Struthio camelus: one gene and its partner. Each later gene encodes a partner of the first gene's protein in a complex. Links are inferred from orthologs where the notes say so. Each region holds a gene or a part of one and is shown on either strand. Other genes may lie near its edges.

What was found. Proteins that work in one complex are often made in the same cells at the same time.
Region 2: the proteins of SMAD1 (region 1) and SMURF1 are in contact, whole or in part, in an NMR structure (PDB 2LB1), measured with the Homo sapiens proteins. The link is inferred for Struthio camelus from reciprocal best matches to the Homo sapiens genes SMAD1 and SMURF1. Residues at the interface, in NP_001003688.1 of Homo sapiens: Asp221, Thr222, Pro223, Pro224, Pro225, Ala226, Tyr227, Leu228, Pro229, Pro230, Glu231, Asp232; in NP_065162.1 of Homo sapiens: Glu313, Val314, Arg315, Ser316, Arg321, Tyr323, Val325, Asp326, His327, Arg330, Thr331, Thr332, Gln333, Phe334.

The regions. Positions count from the first base shown.
Region 1 is NC_090945.1:34,653,209-34,660,497, reverse strand, and holds the start of SMAD1 (mothers against decapentaplegic homolog 1), read right to left. Parts: upstream 3,013-7,289; 5' UTR 2,873-3,012; exon of another isoform or gene 2,849-2,872; intron 2,117-2,848; exon of another isoform or gene 1,885-2,116; intron 1-1,884. Other genes in the region: OTUD4 (OTU domain-containing protein 4), read left to right, coding at 6,560-6,724. UniProt on the Homo sapiens protein: Transcriptional modulator that plays a role in various cellular processes, including embryonic development, cell differentiation, and tissue homeostasis.
Region 2 is NC_090956.1:4,661,717-4,669,065, reverse strand, and holds the start of SMURF1 (E3 ubiquitin-protein ligase SMURF1), read right to left. Parts: upstream 3,005-7,349; 5' UTR 2,908-3,004; coding exon 2,853-2,907; intron 2,463-2,852; exon of another isoform or gene 2,409-2,462; intron 2,250-2,408; exon of another isoform or gene 2,191-2,249; intron 1-2,190. UniProt on the Homo sapiens protein: E3 ubiquitin-protein ligase that acts as a negative regulator of BMP signaling pathway. Mediates ubiquitination and degradation of SMAD1 and SMAD5, 2 receptor-regulated SMADs specific for the BMP pathway.

The sequences.
Region 1 (7,289 bases):
AGGCACACCCTGAGTAAGAAACGTTAAAGATTCACAAAAGCCTTTAAAACCAAGTTCTTACTCTTCCCACCCCCCTAGTACAAGCAGTACAGGTCTTTCTCTAAGCTTATGGAAATGAGTTACTACCACATGAGTCAGTTAAAACTTAAGGGGCGTAAACTTAAAAAAGCATCAACTAGTACATAGCTACAACGAATACTCTCACAAACAACAGAATACACTTTAGAAGAGTGGAAGGCATAAAATGAGATTTTTTAAACGCTCAGGATTTATTCCTCTGAGGGAGTACAATCTTACTGAAAAGGAATTAAACTAAAACTTTGAATATGCTGTCCAGGTTTGGTAAAAAGGGTTTAGGATAACTCAACACTGTCAGTCTCTCAGGCTGAAGTTTAGCATAGATTTAGCCTGGCACTACACTAGAATCAAAACCTGTCATCTCTTTGCTTGTCCACTCGTTCCCACCCTCACACGCCTCTCTCTCTTGCACTGGTGTTTGTGTAGCAAGCGTGCAGCAAAATGGCTTGGAGAGCTGATCTTGCTGAAAAATGTAACGGGGCTCGGGGCAGGTGAAGCTTAGCAATGAGCCAGGTCACTTTTCACAGTGTACTTCACTGTCCAGCTATATGAACCTGTGTACCTGCACAAAGGCAGGCACAGAGCAGGGTCAGGACCAAGCAGCTACCAGCAGCAAAGCATTGTTTCTTTTCCAAGGCACTACCAGCTTAAACGTATACTGAATTACAGATTGGGAAATATGAGACCAGATATTGATAATCAACTTTCACTGGGTTGTTTTTAAGCCTATTGTCTTCAAAAGTACTGATCACACGCTAACAGCCTATTTAACATACATAGAAAACGCATATTGAATCAGGCCTTACTATTTCCACCAAAAATAGTAATTTCAGACAAAGTCAAAAATCTCATAGTGAATTATTAAGCACATAGGCAAAGATTTTTTTAACCAATCACACAGAGATTTTTTTTTTTTTACATGTGCCCTTAAGTGACTTTATAATCATCATTGATATTTATCCCAACTAGGCTAAGTGCTTATTTTTAATTAATTCCCATTAAATGTTTTGGCTTGATAACACGCTTTAGTGATGAGTTCCTAGCCTAAATAAGCATTTGGTTTAAAGAAAGAAGACTCTGAATTTGTTGTACACTTGCTTAGTCTTCTCACTTCCTTCCCACTATTGATTTACAGAGGTTGTACATATTTCATCAGGTCTGTTGCAGTACTTCTGAGAAAAAGTAATGCAACATGAGAGTAATCACTTGCTATTCATGTAGCTACATAGATATACACTCAGTTTAACAACTCTCTCTTTTGGAAAAAAGGCAGCTGATGTGATTGCCATAACCTCCTCCCCTCTCCATTCAGTACTCGTTCCTATACCACACCTCCCTTTCTGGGGTCTTTAACTCATGATAACAAGTAATTGTCAAAAAAAAAAAAATCCATAAAAACAACCTCTTTAAAATGTTTCCTGTTGCATCCCACAATCATTTGTAGGATGCTGATCACCTGAGAGTTAAAATGAGTCCTGACGGTGGTGAAGGCACTGCTTAAACTGGTACCACAGCCAAAAATGAAACTTTAATCCAATCACAGCTTCACACAGATGTCAAGAGGAAGTCAGAGCCATAGGGCCAAACACTCAAGCCCTTTGGGCTGCACAAGGGCTAGCTCTGATTTACAAGACGGTAACGCGATCTTTAGAGACAGGGCCACACTCCCAGCCTGACTCTCTCCTCAGCTCCCCCGCTCTGGCAGGTCCCAGCCTCGCCTGTCCTGCCTTCCCCTTCCTTTCAGCCCCACGGCCCGGCTCCCAACGCCGCTGTCCCCCTCTGCTCCCCGGCCCGCCTTCTACCTACCGCACCGCTCCTGCGCCCGCAGGCCGCCGGGCGGCGCGGCGCACCGAGCCCGCGACGGCCACAGACCTCGTTTCCTCACGACTCCGGCTGATGCTCCCGACCCGCCGCCCCTGATTTAAACTACAGCGTCTGGCGGTGCCGGGGGGAATAAACCGCCTGAGGAGCCCGGGCCACAGGGGGCGGCCGGCGGCGGGAGCCCCCTGCCGCCTCCCGCGCCCCTCCCCCCGCGGGCGGCCGTTAGGGAGACCGCGGCGCGCGGCGCCCCCCCGCGGGCGGCTCCAACGGCAGCTCCCGCGCGGCGCTGGGTCCTCCTCACGCCGGGGCGGCTATAACTAGGCCAAATTCAGACGGCTTTTTCACGCAACCAGCGTTAAAAGGGATCCATCCCGCGCCTGCGGTTTTCACGCCCTCCCTTCAAAGCACGAAAAGGCATCTTAAATTAAACTTGCAGCCTCGCTCCTTCGTCCGTGTCGAGGGGCCGCGGCAGGGGGGAGGGAAGGAGGGGCACAGGACACGCCACTTTTTCGGCCTGGTTGCGTGGAGGAGCTGCCGCGGCGCCTCAGGCCGCCTATTTCGGAGACGCGTTAAAGTACATCGGGGAAAGAACCAGCCCCACTCCTGTTCGCGGAACCAGGTGCCTCCGAGGGGCCGGGAGGGGATCGCACAGCAGCACTTTGAACTGCGCGTTAACCGCATCCCCATAATTAGGCAGACAGGACCTGCCCGGTGTTGGACAAGCCCCGACACCGCGCACCTCGCTCTGAACCCGGCCCCACGCGCCCCCCGCGTGCCCAACCCCCGGCGCCGCTGCCGGCACCGCCGAGCGCGCTACCGGCCCTGTGGGGGGAAGGGACACACTCCTGGGCGGTACCACTGCAAGCCCACTGTTGGGGGGGGGCGGAGGCGCGGGCGACTGCCTCTCGCCTTGACATCACCCGCTTCCTTAAAGTTACCCAACGGAAAAAAAAAATCCTTAGGGGAAGCTTACGCCACGTGCCGCTTTCTCCTAGGGCATCTGGGGATTCTCACAGTCTGTCTCCTTCCTCCCCTTTGCGACAAATGGTACGAGCCACAGCCACCCGCACAGGTGTGGCCGGTGGGACAAACCAATCGTGGGCGGGGGGGGTGGTGGAAAGCGGTGTGGGCGCGCGCGCACTCGTGTGCGTGTGTAGAAGAGTGATGAGAAGTGGCGAGGCGGGAGGGCGAGACCGGGACGGGGTTGGTCCGCGGCCGCATCATCGCAGAGCGACCGCCGCGGGAGATTGAAGTGCCTGCGCCGCCGCTGAGGCCCTTGCCAGGCCAGAAGGAGGCGGTGCCGCCGCCCGCTCCCGCAAGCCGTTGTCCGGGGGGGGGAGGGGGGAGCGCGCGCGCCCGCCCGCCCCTCCTCCGGTAAGTGCCAGTCAGCGGGTGGGGGAGGGGTGCGGGGCCCGCCCGGTAGCCGTTGCGGAGGGGGGAACCGCTGAGGGGGGAGGCTAACTCGTCTGCGTGTGTGTGGCCGCACCGGCGGCCGAGCGGGCCCAGCCCGGGCGGATCCGCTCCCGGGGCAAAGGCGGCCGGGCCGGGCCGGGCCGCGGAAGGTGCTGCCCTTGCGGCGGGCGGGGAGGCTGTTGGTGGCAGGCCCTTTGGGGGGGGGGGGGAGTGTGCCTGTCCCCGGCTCGCCATGGGTCGCGCCAGCGAGATTTGCCGGCTGGAAGGAGTGATTTTTATTTTGTTTAATTGTTATTATTATTTTGTTTAATTGTTATTAGTGTTTTGGTTAATCAGCGGGGTCTGGAATGGGGAAGGGGGCACGTGAAAGTGGGCGAGAGCTGGTCTCCTCAAGGTGGTGGTTTCATGGACGCGTGAGGCGGGTAAGGGTGGTCGGTCGTGCACCACCGTGTGGTGCCCCCGCTCCCTGGTGCTGGCCCAGGTGTTAGTACAGGCAGGCAGTGAATTGAATCATAACGATGATCTTGGTTTAAAAATTAAAAAAAAAAAGTTCTTAGCTTGAGTCTGTTTCCTGAGCTGACTCTGTCGGCACCAGTGGTTGGTGCAGAGGAACCACTAGTGGCAGGAACTGCTCTGTTTTTGGTGACAGCACTGGTTGAAAGCGTTTATAAAACTAGTTGCTGATTGGCTACTTGAGTTATAATTAGGTCCCCTTTACTTTGAGGGAGCGTTCATTTTAATGCTGAGGGGTTTCAGGTGCTTTTCAATTGATGCCTTAGAAATGCCACATGCCTTAGAAATTGTGCAAGTACTGACCAGATTTCTTCAATGGGAACTTCACCTTTTTAGAAATAAACTGCTTCTTTGATAGCAGTACATGAGCAAAAACCTCTGTGGATGACCATTGTGACTTTAGGAGCTAGACACAAAAGGAGTGGGCTTTTGGGGAACTGACAGCTATATGGCTCTAATATTATCAGTTTATTCGCATACCAGAACTACGTTTGCATTCTGTGACATATTTAATGACCTTATTTTTTGAGTGACCTCGTGTATAAAGGCACTCTTGAGTCTAACAGACCTAATGAAAGCCATTTACCTTTCCTCTAACTGGTCTCTGAATCATAGTGACAAAAGGCTCAAATACAAGGGAAGACAAATTTGTGAGCATGTTAGAGGATGCTTCTGGTACTGAAGGTGACTATTAGACTGAGGGGGAAAAATGGAAAATTCCTAAGAAACTCTGTAACTGGACACTAGTTTGATAGCTCACAAAAGCATCTAGTCTTACCATCTAAATCTATGGAAGAAGCAATTGTCCCATGCAGGAATCTGTTAGCTTTAATTTCTTAAGTGAATACGGTAGCTGTGTCAGTGCCGGCAATTGTTTGCAGTTCAGCATTGTGATGGACTTTTTACATCTTTTGGGGAGAAGTTTGAGCTTTCCCTTCAGTTCCTCACTAGTGTTTATGCCTCATGCTCCCTGTCATAAAGCCTTTATATGCCCTTACTGGTTACCTAGCTCCCTGTTTCTTAGAGCCTCAGATGTCATCAGGGCTTTCCTTTCACTTCTCTTAGTTTCTGTGCTCCTTGTCTACAGAGATGTCTGGGAGATTGCTTCTGTTTCCAGTAGACCTGCTCCTTGCTTGGCAAACCTGGGCCTCTTAGGAAAAAGAAGTTTGATACTGCTTATACAGAGCTACCATGGTACTCAGCTTGGCTTATAACTCCAGCCTATCCAGTTGGTTACTATTGTATACAGACCACATCAGAGCTTGAATCATAGCCTTCCCTGGCTTTGTTTCTGTTGACTGAAAGTAAAAATGAGGGTTTTCATATAACTGCCAGAAAGGACAATTTTGAGGGTAGTAGCAAAAGGAGGTGGGATGAGGGAATAAGGAGTTTTCTTGGGGTTTCTCATAGCGTCTGCCTTAAGTTCAGTGACCAGAAAGGTCGTTCCTTCCCACTTCCCCACTATTTCTGACCTCAAAATCTTATTAATTTAAACTAAAGAGTAACTGGTAACATTTTACTTACCACTCATGCTACTGAGAGCTTTCTAGCTTTCCCCCTTAGGTAAGTTATAAGTCTACAGTAAAAAAGCCTTACACATTTGGAAAGCTGCCTTCCTTGTCAGATTTTGTGCACCAAAATCATTCCTTCCCGCAGCTTTTAAGGCCAGTCTCTAAAATGCCAAGCAAAATATAGGTCACTTAATTGTAATAAAATGCATGTTTGCTGCTGCTTGCTGCTGAAAGAAATATTGAATAGAGTGTTTTTGTTTTTGTTTTAAATCCTATTTTACTATCCCCCTTCTACTTTCATCTTCCTGCGGCTGGATTTCAAAAATAATTTCACTATCTTATCTGTTGAGGGAAAATATATTTATGTGTCTATGTGTATAATAATATATCTACACACACACACACACACACACACACACACGGTTTAGATTGTGGACATCCTGGTGTCACAACGACTAACAAGCTATGGCATAATTCAGTGTCACGCACATGAAGTCCTGTTCTTCATGGCATGACAGCCCCTGTGGCTCGAGAGGGCAGGCGCGGGGGTCAGCAGCATGCCCTGGGAGCGGCCGGACTCGCTTGCAGGCAAGAGAGGGGCGCTGGCGCGTCGTGTTGGGGAGACAGGCGTGCGGGCAGCCCGGGGCCCGGCGGGGCTTGGGCCGGAGCAGCTGGCGGTGCCCCGCCCGGTTCCTTCTTCCTGCCCCTCCGGGACTACAGCTCCCAGAAGCGCCCGGGCTCTCGGCTGAAAGTGAAAATAAACTCCAGGTTACACTTTTTTCTTCCCCTCCCCTCGGTAGTAGCACATGTCCTTTCTCTTTTGTTTCTGCTTTGCAGCCTGGGTGCGTGCTACATCTACGCAAACGCGAGGAATCGCTGCCTGGAGGAAGAGGTCGGATCGGGACCCTGCTGGAGCAGCTTCCAGGAGCCGCTGCTGGGCCCCCTGGAGAAGCCTGGAAGCGACGTTTTTTATGGGGCTAGAAGTCCAGACTCTGCAGTGAAAGTTTCCTCCTCTCCGTGATTCCCACATGCAAGTTGATAACGTGAAAACGGCTGCTTTTCCTGTTGCTGCTGCTACCTCCAGTGCTGAGAGAGAGGTTAGCGCTCTCCATCCCCACCTGCTGCGGTTTCCTTCACCTGGCCCTGGTGCCGCTCGGTGGGTTTGCATTACCATGTGGGGTTAGGAGAGGTGCAGCGAGCTTCTGCAGCGTTCAGCAGTAAACATGGAGGCGACGGGTAAACCAGATGGCAGGGAGCAGAGTCATCAAAGCAGCGGCACAGATGCTCCTGGGGACGCTTCTATGGACCGCTACTTGCGATCTCAGGGCTTATATAGAAAGAGAGTTGCCAAGGATGGATCTTGTCTCTTCAGAGCTGTGGCTGAGCAGGTAACTAGTTCTTTAAATAAAGCTGCTTTGCACAAAAGAGTGGGAAGTGTAGGATCTCATTAGTGGGTGATACTTAATGTTAAAATGCAAACAACTATAGGTTAAGGTGACACGTGTGCCAAGAAAAGAGAATAGTACTCGAGGAGAGAGACATTCCGTATGTGCAGCATTATTGTGCTCTCAAGAAAATGTTAGCTTTTAAGTTTTGACACTCCCCTCTACATTCTTCATGTAAGATTTCAGCATTTGGGAACAATAGCTTCATATAAAACAACTAAGAACAAGGCTTTTAAGCGCCTTCCATTAAGTTCAGTTTCCTAGACAGTTTTAAGTGGTTTATTGTAAAATTAGAGAAAACAAACAATTTATCTGATTCTTCCTGTTGAATTCCCCCTCCCCCATTTCAGTGTAATGGTTAAAGGAAAAAAGTGACAGCGTCATCTTGTCTTAAATACAAACAAACAGCAGTGGGAGCTCTGGTGCTTCTGTTTGTGAGAGCCCAAATTCCTGTGCTAATACACAGTGCATTTCTTGTTTTTTAACTACTTTCTCCACTAAATTTTAT
Region 2 (7,349 bases), on another chromosome or scaffold:
TGTTACATGTTTTGCCCACCTCTTCACTCTCTTTCCAACTCTATGTGCCACCTAATCTGCAAGCTACCTGGAACAGGAGCATCTCTGGTATCTAGCACAATGAGACTGCAGTTTTCACACGTACTTCTGGGTGATATAACAGCATGAGCAAGAAGGATGCAAGCCTTGGAGCTGATAAACCCTTTGGAACTTCCCCAGGGGACAGTGACGGCAGCAGCAAACAAAAGGTTTTAGACAAAAGCACATCACTTAAAAGGGAGGAAAGAAAAAAAAAAAAAAAAGGAAAAAGGAGGTGGGGAGGCACTCAGCAAAGGTCCCTTGGTCTTTGGATTGCATTCCTCCCCAACCCAGAACACACTCAGTGGACTTTTCAAGCACGTACACTGCAGAACTTAAAATATCTTTTTATTATTTCCATCTTTTTTTAAATAAGTCATTCACTGTTACACTACCCTGGTGATAGCTCAGTTTACCTTAACTTGTAAGAGCCAAAGATATTTACGGCCTTGTCTCTTGGAACAATTCTAGACATCTCTAGCAGTGGTGAAAGCTCCATCGGAAATACAAGGAACTTTGCACAGGCTTTTGGGGAAACTCAGATACGAAGAGAGATTACCATGTTTGAGACGCACAGAAGATAAAGTCACTTTAATCTGTCATCCAACTTACTTGCTATTACCGCATTTTCTCTTTTTTTTTTTTTTTTTTTAAACAGGATGCATTATTTGCCATTTTCCTTCATTATGATTTGTATCAGGATAGGACTGACACCATTCCACATAAGGCTAGAAGATCACTTCTGATAAACATCAGAGGAGCCAGAACTTTTTTATATATATATTCACATAAATAAAATAATCCCAGCACAGTGCTAATACAAGCACCTTCCTAACATGCAAGAAAAAAGTATGTCTTTCAAAAAGTACGGAAGATGCTATCACTGTCGACTTCTCGTTTACAAAGTAACCCTCACAGGCATCTTCAAACTAAGTGGCATTTACACAGTTCCTTGCAGGAGTGGAAAACAGAAATGGCTATAATCGCAGGAAACACAATGCGGGTAGTAAACCATAACAGAAGATGCGCTGTGTCTTGATTTAATTCAGCTCAAATCTCCCAATACCAAAACAGATTCCAAAAAAAAAAAAAAAAAAAAAAAGTCATGCTAGCTACAGCTATTTGAAACAGGTAAGTCGAGAAGCTAGTTGCCAGAGAAGCCAGGAACACGTTTCTTAACGATTCCAAAGCTACACCTCTCCCAAAGCAACACCTCTCCCAAAGCAATTTATTTTTTGATTAAATACAGCAATTTTTGGCACACCACCCAGGTTGAATGCTCATAAGGACAGAAGATATGATTGAGCAAGCTGGAGGTTTCTTCAGTACAGCTTTTCTTTGGGGAGGGGGGAATATATGAACAAGAAAATCTATCCAGTTATTTAACAAACCAAACCTTCACTCTATTCCAGAAAATGTCCAAAACGTTCTCAAATAAGAGAGAACAGTGCAAGCTAGAAGTAAAACAGCATTTTGATGCAGAACTCCTCCTTTAAAAATCAAACCCAACAGCTTTTTTCTGCTATTTAAAGAATACCCTCACGTTGAGGAGGGCTGTAAGCATGGCAGAAGCTACTTCTCTTGCAACATTTTTATTTATTGGGTTGCATAAAATAAGTTATATTAAGGACTGCTTTGACATTTAACACGCATCAGTGCAAAACTGTAATTTCAGATCAAACATACACCCTAAATCCTTTTTTAACCTTTTCACATCCAAGAAAAGGATTGTCCTATTTATGTTTTTTCCCAGAAACTTTAGTCTCTTAAAGCCAGAGCAGTGTAAAACCAAACAAAAATGATTAAAAAAGCAGGATTCTTTTTTTTTTTAGGAGTTATTTCTGACTGATTGCATTATATGCCAGAAGCAAGTTAATCTTGTGTGTAACTGCAGGAGTGCTGCTTCCCCATTATTTGACGATGCCTAACGCACCCAGGGAAACAACTCCGTGCAGATCAGCGTTACTGACCCAGAGCAGCACGGCGGTTCGCTGAAAGAGCTCTCCGAGTTTGCACCTGTTGCCTTGGAGGCCTGGACTGGGCTTTATTTATCAATAATTCACACCGTAGCCCTCAGAAACTCTGCCCTTTTTCCATTAAGGAAGCAGCCTCAGTATCAACCGGGGCAGCTTCCAGAAGATTTAATCCAGCTCTTGGAGGGTGCAACACAGAATTGGCTTATCCACACGCGGGTGCGCAGTTTATCGCTCCTTCCCCCCTTCCCCTTATCGCTCAGCGAAGCAACTTCGGGAGCCGGATGAGCGATCTGCTGAAGGAGAAAAGGGGGGAAGGGGCGGCCGGGGAGGAAGGAGGCAGCCCTGGCCCGCGACTAAACCCACATTTTCTCCCAGCACAGAGCGCCTGCCCGGCCCAAGGGAAACTCGGCGGCGGAGCAGGAGGCCGAGGTCGGTCCTGGCGGGCGGCGGTTGGGGGGGGGGGGGGAGCCGGGCCCGGAGCCCCCCCCCCCCCCGGGGGCCCCCGCAGCGCCGGGCTGCGCACCTGACACCCCGCCGGGGGGCAACGGCGCGGGCCAGGGGGCCAAGATATATTAGGGATATATGTGTATATATATATATTATATATGGGGGGGGGGGGGGCGGCCCGGGGAAAGTTCGCGCCGGTAGCGGCGGCAGCCCGGCCGGCCTCGCCCCCTCGCGGCGCCCGGCCCTGCCGCCAGGCCGCGGCCCGGAGGGGGCGGCGGCCGCCGGCGCCGAGGCGGCCAGGCCGGGGCGGGCGAGGCGGCGGTGCGGGGGGGAAGCGGCGGGAGGGCCGCGCGGCGGCGGCGGCGCCGTTACCTGTGAGGCGGATCTTGATGCTGGAGCCGTTCCGGCGGGTGCCGGGGTTCGACATCGCGGGCGCGGGCTGGGGGAGCCGGTCTCAGCCGCCGGCCCCGGGCACCCCCATGCGGGCCTGCTGCCGCCGCCGCCGCCGCCCGCCTCAGCCCCGCCGCCCGGCCCGGCCCGGCCGCGGAGAGCGCGCTGGCGCCGCCCCCGCCCCGCCGCCCGCGGGAGAGGGGGCGGCGCACGTCAGCACGCAGCGCGGCGCGGCCGCGCGCCGCCGCCATGGAGGTGAGGTCGGCCTGGAGGGGGGCGGGGGGGAGGAGAGCGGCAGCGCCCCCTGGCGGCGGGGCGGAGAGGGGGCGACGGCGGGGCCCGGCGGGGGGGCGAGGCGGGGCGGGGGTAACAATGGGGGTGACATGGGGGCCCGGAGGGTGGATGGGGCGGCAGAGGGGGTGGGTAGGAGTGATACAGGGGGTGCGTGGGGGTGGCACGGGGGTCCCTTGGAGGGTGCATGGAGGGGGGTGGGGGTGCATGGAAGGTGTCTGGGGGTGGGATGGAGGGTGCGTGGGGGGGGTGAATGGAGGGTGCGTGGGGGTGGGATGGGGGTGAATGGAGGGTGGCTGGGGTGGGATGAGGGGTGAATGGAGGGTGCGTGGGGGTGGGATGGGGGGTGAATGGAGGGTGGCTGGGGTGGGATGAGGGGTGAATGGAGGGTGCGTGGGGGTGGGATGGGGGGTGAATGGAGGGTGGCTGGGGTGGGATGGGGGTGAATGGAGGGTGGCTGGGGTGGGATGGGGGTGAATGGAGGGTGGCTGGAATGGGATGAGGGGTGAATGGAAGGTGGCTGGGGTGGGATGGGGGTGAATGGAGGGTGCGTGGGGGTGGGATGGGGGTGAATGGAGGGTGGCTGGGGTGGGATGGGGGTGAATGGAGGGTGGCTGGGGTGGGATGAGGGGTGAATGGAGGGTGGCTGGGGTGGGATGAAGGGTGAATGGAGGGTGGCTGGGGTGGGATGGGGGTGAATGGAGGGTGGCTGGGGTGGGATGGGGGGTGAATGGAGGGTGTCTGGGGTGGGATGGGGGGTGAATGGAGGGTGTCTGGGGTGGGATGAGGGGTGAATGGAGGGTGGCTGGGGTGGGATGGCGGTGAATGGAGGGTGCGTGGGGGTGGGATGGAGGTGAATGGAGGGTGGCTGGGGTGGGATGAGGGGTGAATGGAGGGTGGCTGGGGTGGGATGAGGGGTGAATGGAGCGTGTGGGCGGCTCAGGGCAGGGTGGAGGGGAGGAAATGGTGGGTGGAGTAGGGAGGGTGGGGGCCGGGGCAGTGTGGCAGGGCGCAGGGTGCAGCAGAGGGGTGATGTTTTGGGGGGGGGGGGGACACGGGGCCAGGTTTCAAGCAGAGCGGTGCCAACCCGAGAGCCTGGTGCGTGGGTCTGGGGGTGAGGGCAGCTCAGCCCCCAGCGGGCTCAGGTGCTCGTCCCCGCGCGCCCACAAGGCCGGGATGTGCCCGGGGGGCCACCCGGCTGCCCGCGGTCCCCCGCAGACGCAGCCACTGGCCGGAGACGATGCCGTGGGAGCAGCCTGGCCGTGGCCCCCGCGCCCCATGCAACCCCCCCGAGCACCTCGTTGCTCACTGCTTCCCCAAATGCCTGGTCGGCCAGCAGTTAACGCTGGGGCCTGGTCCTTGCGCCTCTGCCGTGACCCGTCCCCAGCCTATTGATTTACGAACTAACAAATTTAAAAAAAAAAAAACATACACCAACTTCTATTTGCAATGCCAGGATGCGTGTACGCTGAACAAGCCCGCTCACCTCTGCTGCCAGCCAAAAACAAAATCGCTACTGAAAGAAAAATCCTGAAAGGATCCCTAAATCCTCCCTGTCCGCCGAGGCACGGCGCATCCCCCAACCTCCCTGCGCCAAACCTCCGGGCCAGCCTTCTTTTACACCCAGCTGGCTGAGACTAGGTTGTCCTGTTTGCTTAGACACGTGCTGCCGTCCCCGCGGAGCAGACGCCGGGCTCAATGCGGGCCTGCGTAGCCAGACAGAAGTAGCAAATACTACTGTAGAGCAAACGTGAGCTATTTTTCCTGCAGGCAAAGAGATGACCTAGTTCCCCGATCGGGCTGATTTATGGAACTGGAAGCGGGGACGAGGACGGGGCGTGCCGGGCTCGGCGTCGCTCCTGACCGCGTTCGCGCCGAGCTCGTCGCTGGCTACTGCCAGGGGACAGCGGCAGGGCTGGCTCCGCGGCTTCTCACCCTCCCCGCCTCTCGGCCAGACCCGAAGCAAGGGGCGCGCGCGCAGGGAGGCTCTGGAAGCAGAAAGGGACGCGGAGGGTTAGCGGCTAAGTTCGTTAGTCCGACCAGCGCACGCCTTAATTCGGGATTTCGAAAGTACCGCTGTTGTGCTGAGCAGAGAGGATCTTCAGTTTTAAACCACAGCTTTTATTCCTTTGCTCTGCCCATCCTTTCCCAGTGCTGTTTAATGGAAGGCGTGAGGCCCTTCGGTCCTCGCCCAGGACCTTGCTCTTGCTGCGTGCCGGCGTTGGCTAACTGAGAGCTCAGCTCAGGACCAGGCGGGTCCCCTGCAGTGACAGAGCGCGTCGGGCTCTCACTTTTCGAGCGTGCTCAGGGCGGAGGAGCACGGCAAAGATGTTTATGGCTAGCCCCGACAGCCCTGCTGCTCGATTTCCAGCCTGCCGCTGAGCTGGTCCCCAGCGTCTCGGCTCCCCGCGGCACACTTTCCTCGCTGTTTGTTTTCAGCTCCAGATCATCACTCGGAGGGACCGAGCTGTAGCTGTTACAGTCTGTTTGCTCAAAGTCTGCAGCATCTTAACTGAGCCTAGCGACAGATCAGCTGGGAACCACTCTCACTAGCGGTTCCTCCGAGGCAAAGAGGAGGAAGAAACCCCACTCCGTAAATGCCAGGAAGAAAATGCAGAATACAGGCGACGGAGAAGAGAAAGCCTCCGACAACCTACGGCCAAGCATCAGGTGCAGCAAAAAAACTGGAGACTCAAGCAATGCTTTCCGCCGTTCACGTTCTTCCCCCAAATCCACCTCCCCGACCTTTCCCCCTGCCCAGCCACGCTAACCAGGGCTCGGTCCCATCCCCTGCCGGCAGAGCTGGCTCCCGCAGCCCCGAGTTACGCGGTTCCCGGCACAGCCCCTGTCTCGGCCGCTGCTGGGACTCTCCTTCGCCCGGGCACAGACTCCTGCCTCCTGGCCAACTCCGGCGCTGCTGCTTCTCCCACCCCACGCTCCAGGGAGCTGAACTTGCTGTTTCTCCTATTTCTTCTTTCTTTTCTCCAGCCATCAGTTTTCGGCTTGCGTAACTCCCCAAGCCGGCTCCTGGCAGGCCGGGTGAGTCAGGGGCAGCGCAGGCCCCAGCTCCCTGCTTTGCATCCCTGGGAACTGCCACCGAAACCCCCTTCGATCAAGTCTTACAAAGTCAGAGCCCCCATAACTAATTTACATGGTCCCATGGAGGTTGCTGAGTGTTCCTGTGGCAGCAGAAAATGAATAATTCGGAATAAAGGTACTTTGGAAGAGCCCCTACCCCCTTTACGGTGTCCTTTATTGACAAAGGAGCCAGCACAGGCACCAGCACCGCCTTTGTAGAGCTCTAGAGAGCCAGGGATGGAGCAGCCATCATCCGGCTTCTCTGGGGTTCAGATGCAGGGTGCTTTAATTAGAAAAACTACTTATTGGTGCATCTCTAAGCAGAGGATGAGCCCAGGCAGCAGGAGACCCCCCGCCGTCCCCTCCTGTGCTGCAGCCTCGGCTTCGCCCAGCAGCGAGGTGTGGACACCCGAGGAGGAGGAAGGTGCCAGGGGCTTTGCCAAGAAGCCAGGGTCAAGCTACTCTTAATCTGCCTTTGGGAAGCAGCCACCCCGTGAACAGCTCCCCGACTAATCCTTCGCCCCGCGCCTGTGAGCTGGCTGCAGCAGCAAGGGAAGGAGGGTCACGCCAGGGAGACGGAGGGTGATGCGAGAAGTCGGTGTCTCCAACCCTTTGGAGCTGAATGCCAAAGCGGCAACTGCCACCTGTGCCCGGGGCCAGCGGTGATTAGAGGAGAGCACCACTCATTAAAGGGGCAAGCAGATGCCTGCAGGTAGCTCACGCGCCTGCTGAGGCAGCAGCCTCCCAAACACACAAGGCATCAGGCAGGTACATACAGCCGAGCAGGCAGCTGTGTTCAGACAGACACCGTTCCCAGTTCTCCAGCCGCGTTTGTACAACAGCATCAGTCGAAGCCATGCTGCCTCTGCCTTGCTCATGGTGCAGCTCTCCACAAGGCTGGTGGCTATGGAGGATGCATACTCCTACCCATGTTCTTAAAGAGGGGGTCACGTTGTTTTCTCCATCATGTTCTGGGCTTTAGGGGCACCATTTGGTTGCAGTTTAAGCTATCCACTTGCTCTCAGAGCTCTGCATAATACTATCCACCACTGGCAGGCCTCTCCAGCATGCACAGGTAAGCTGGAAAAAAAGACAGACAGCTCTGCCCTT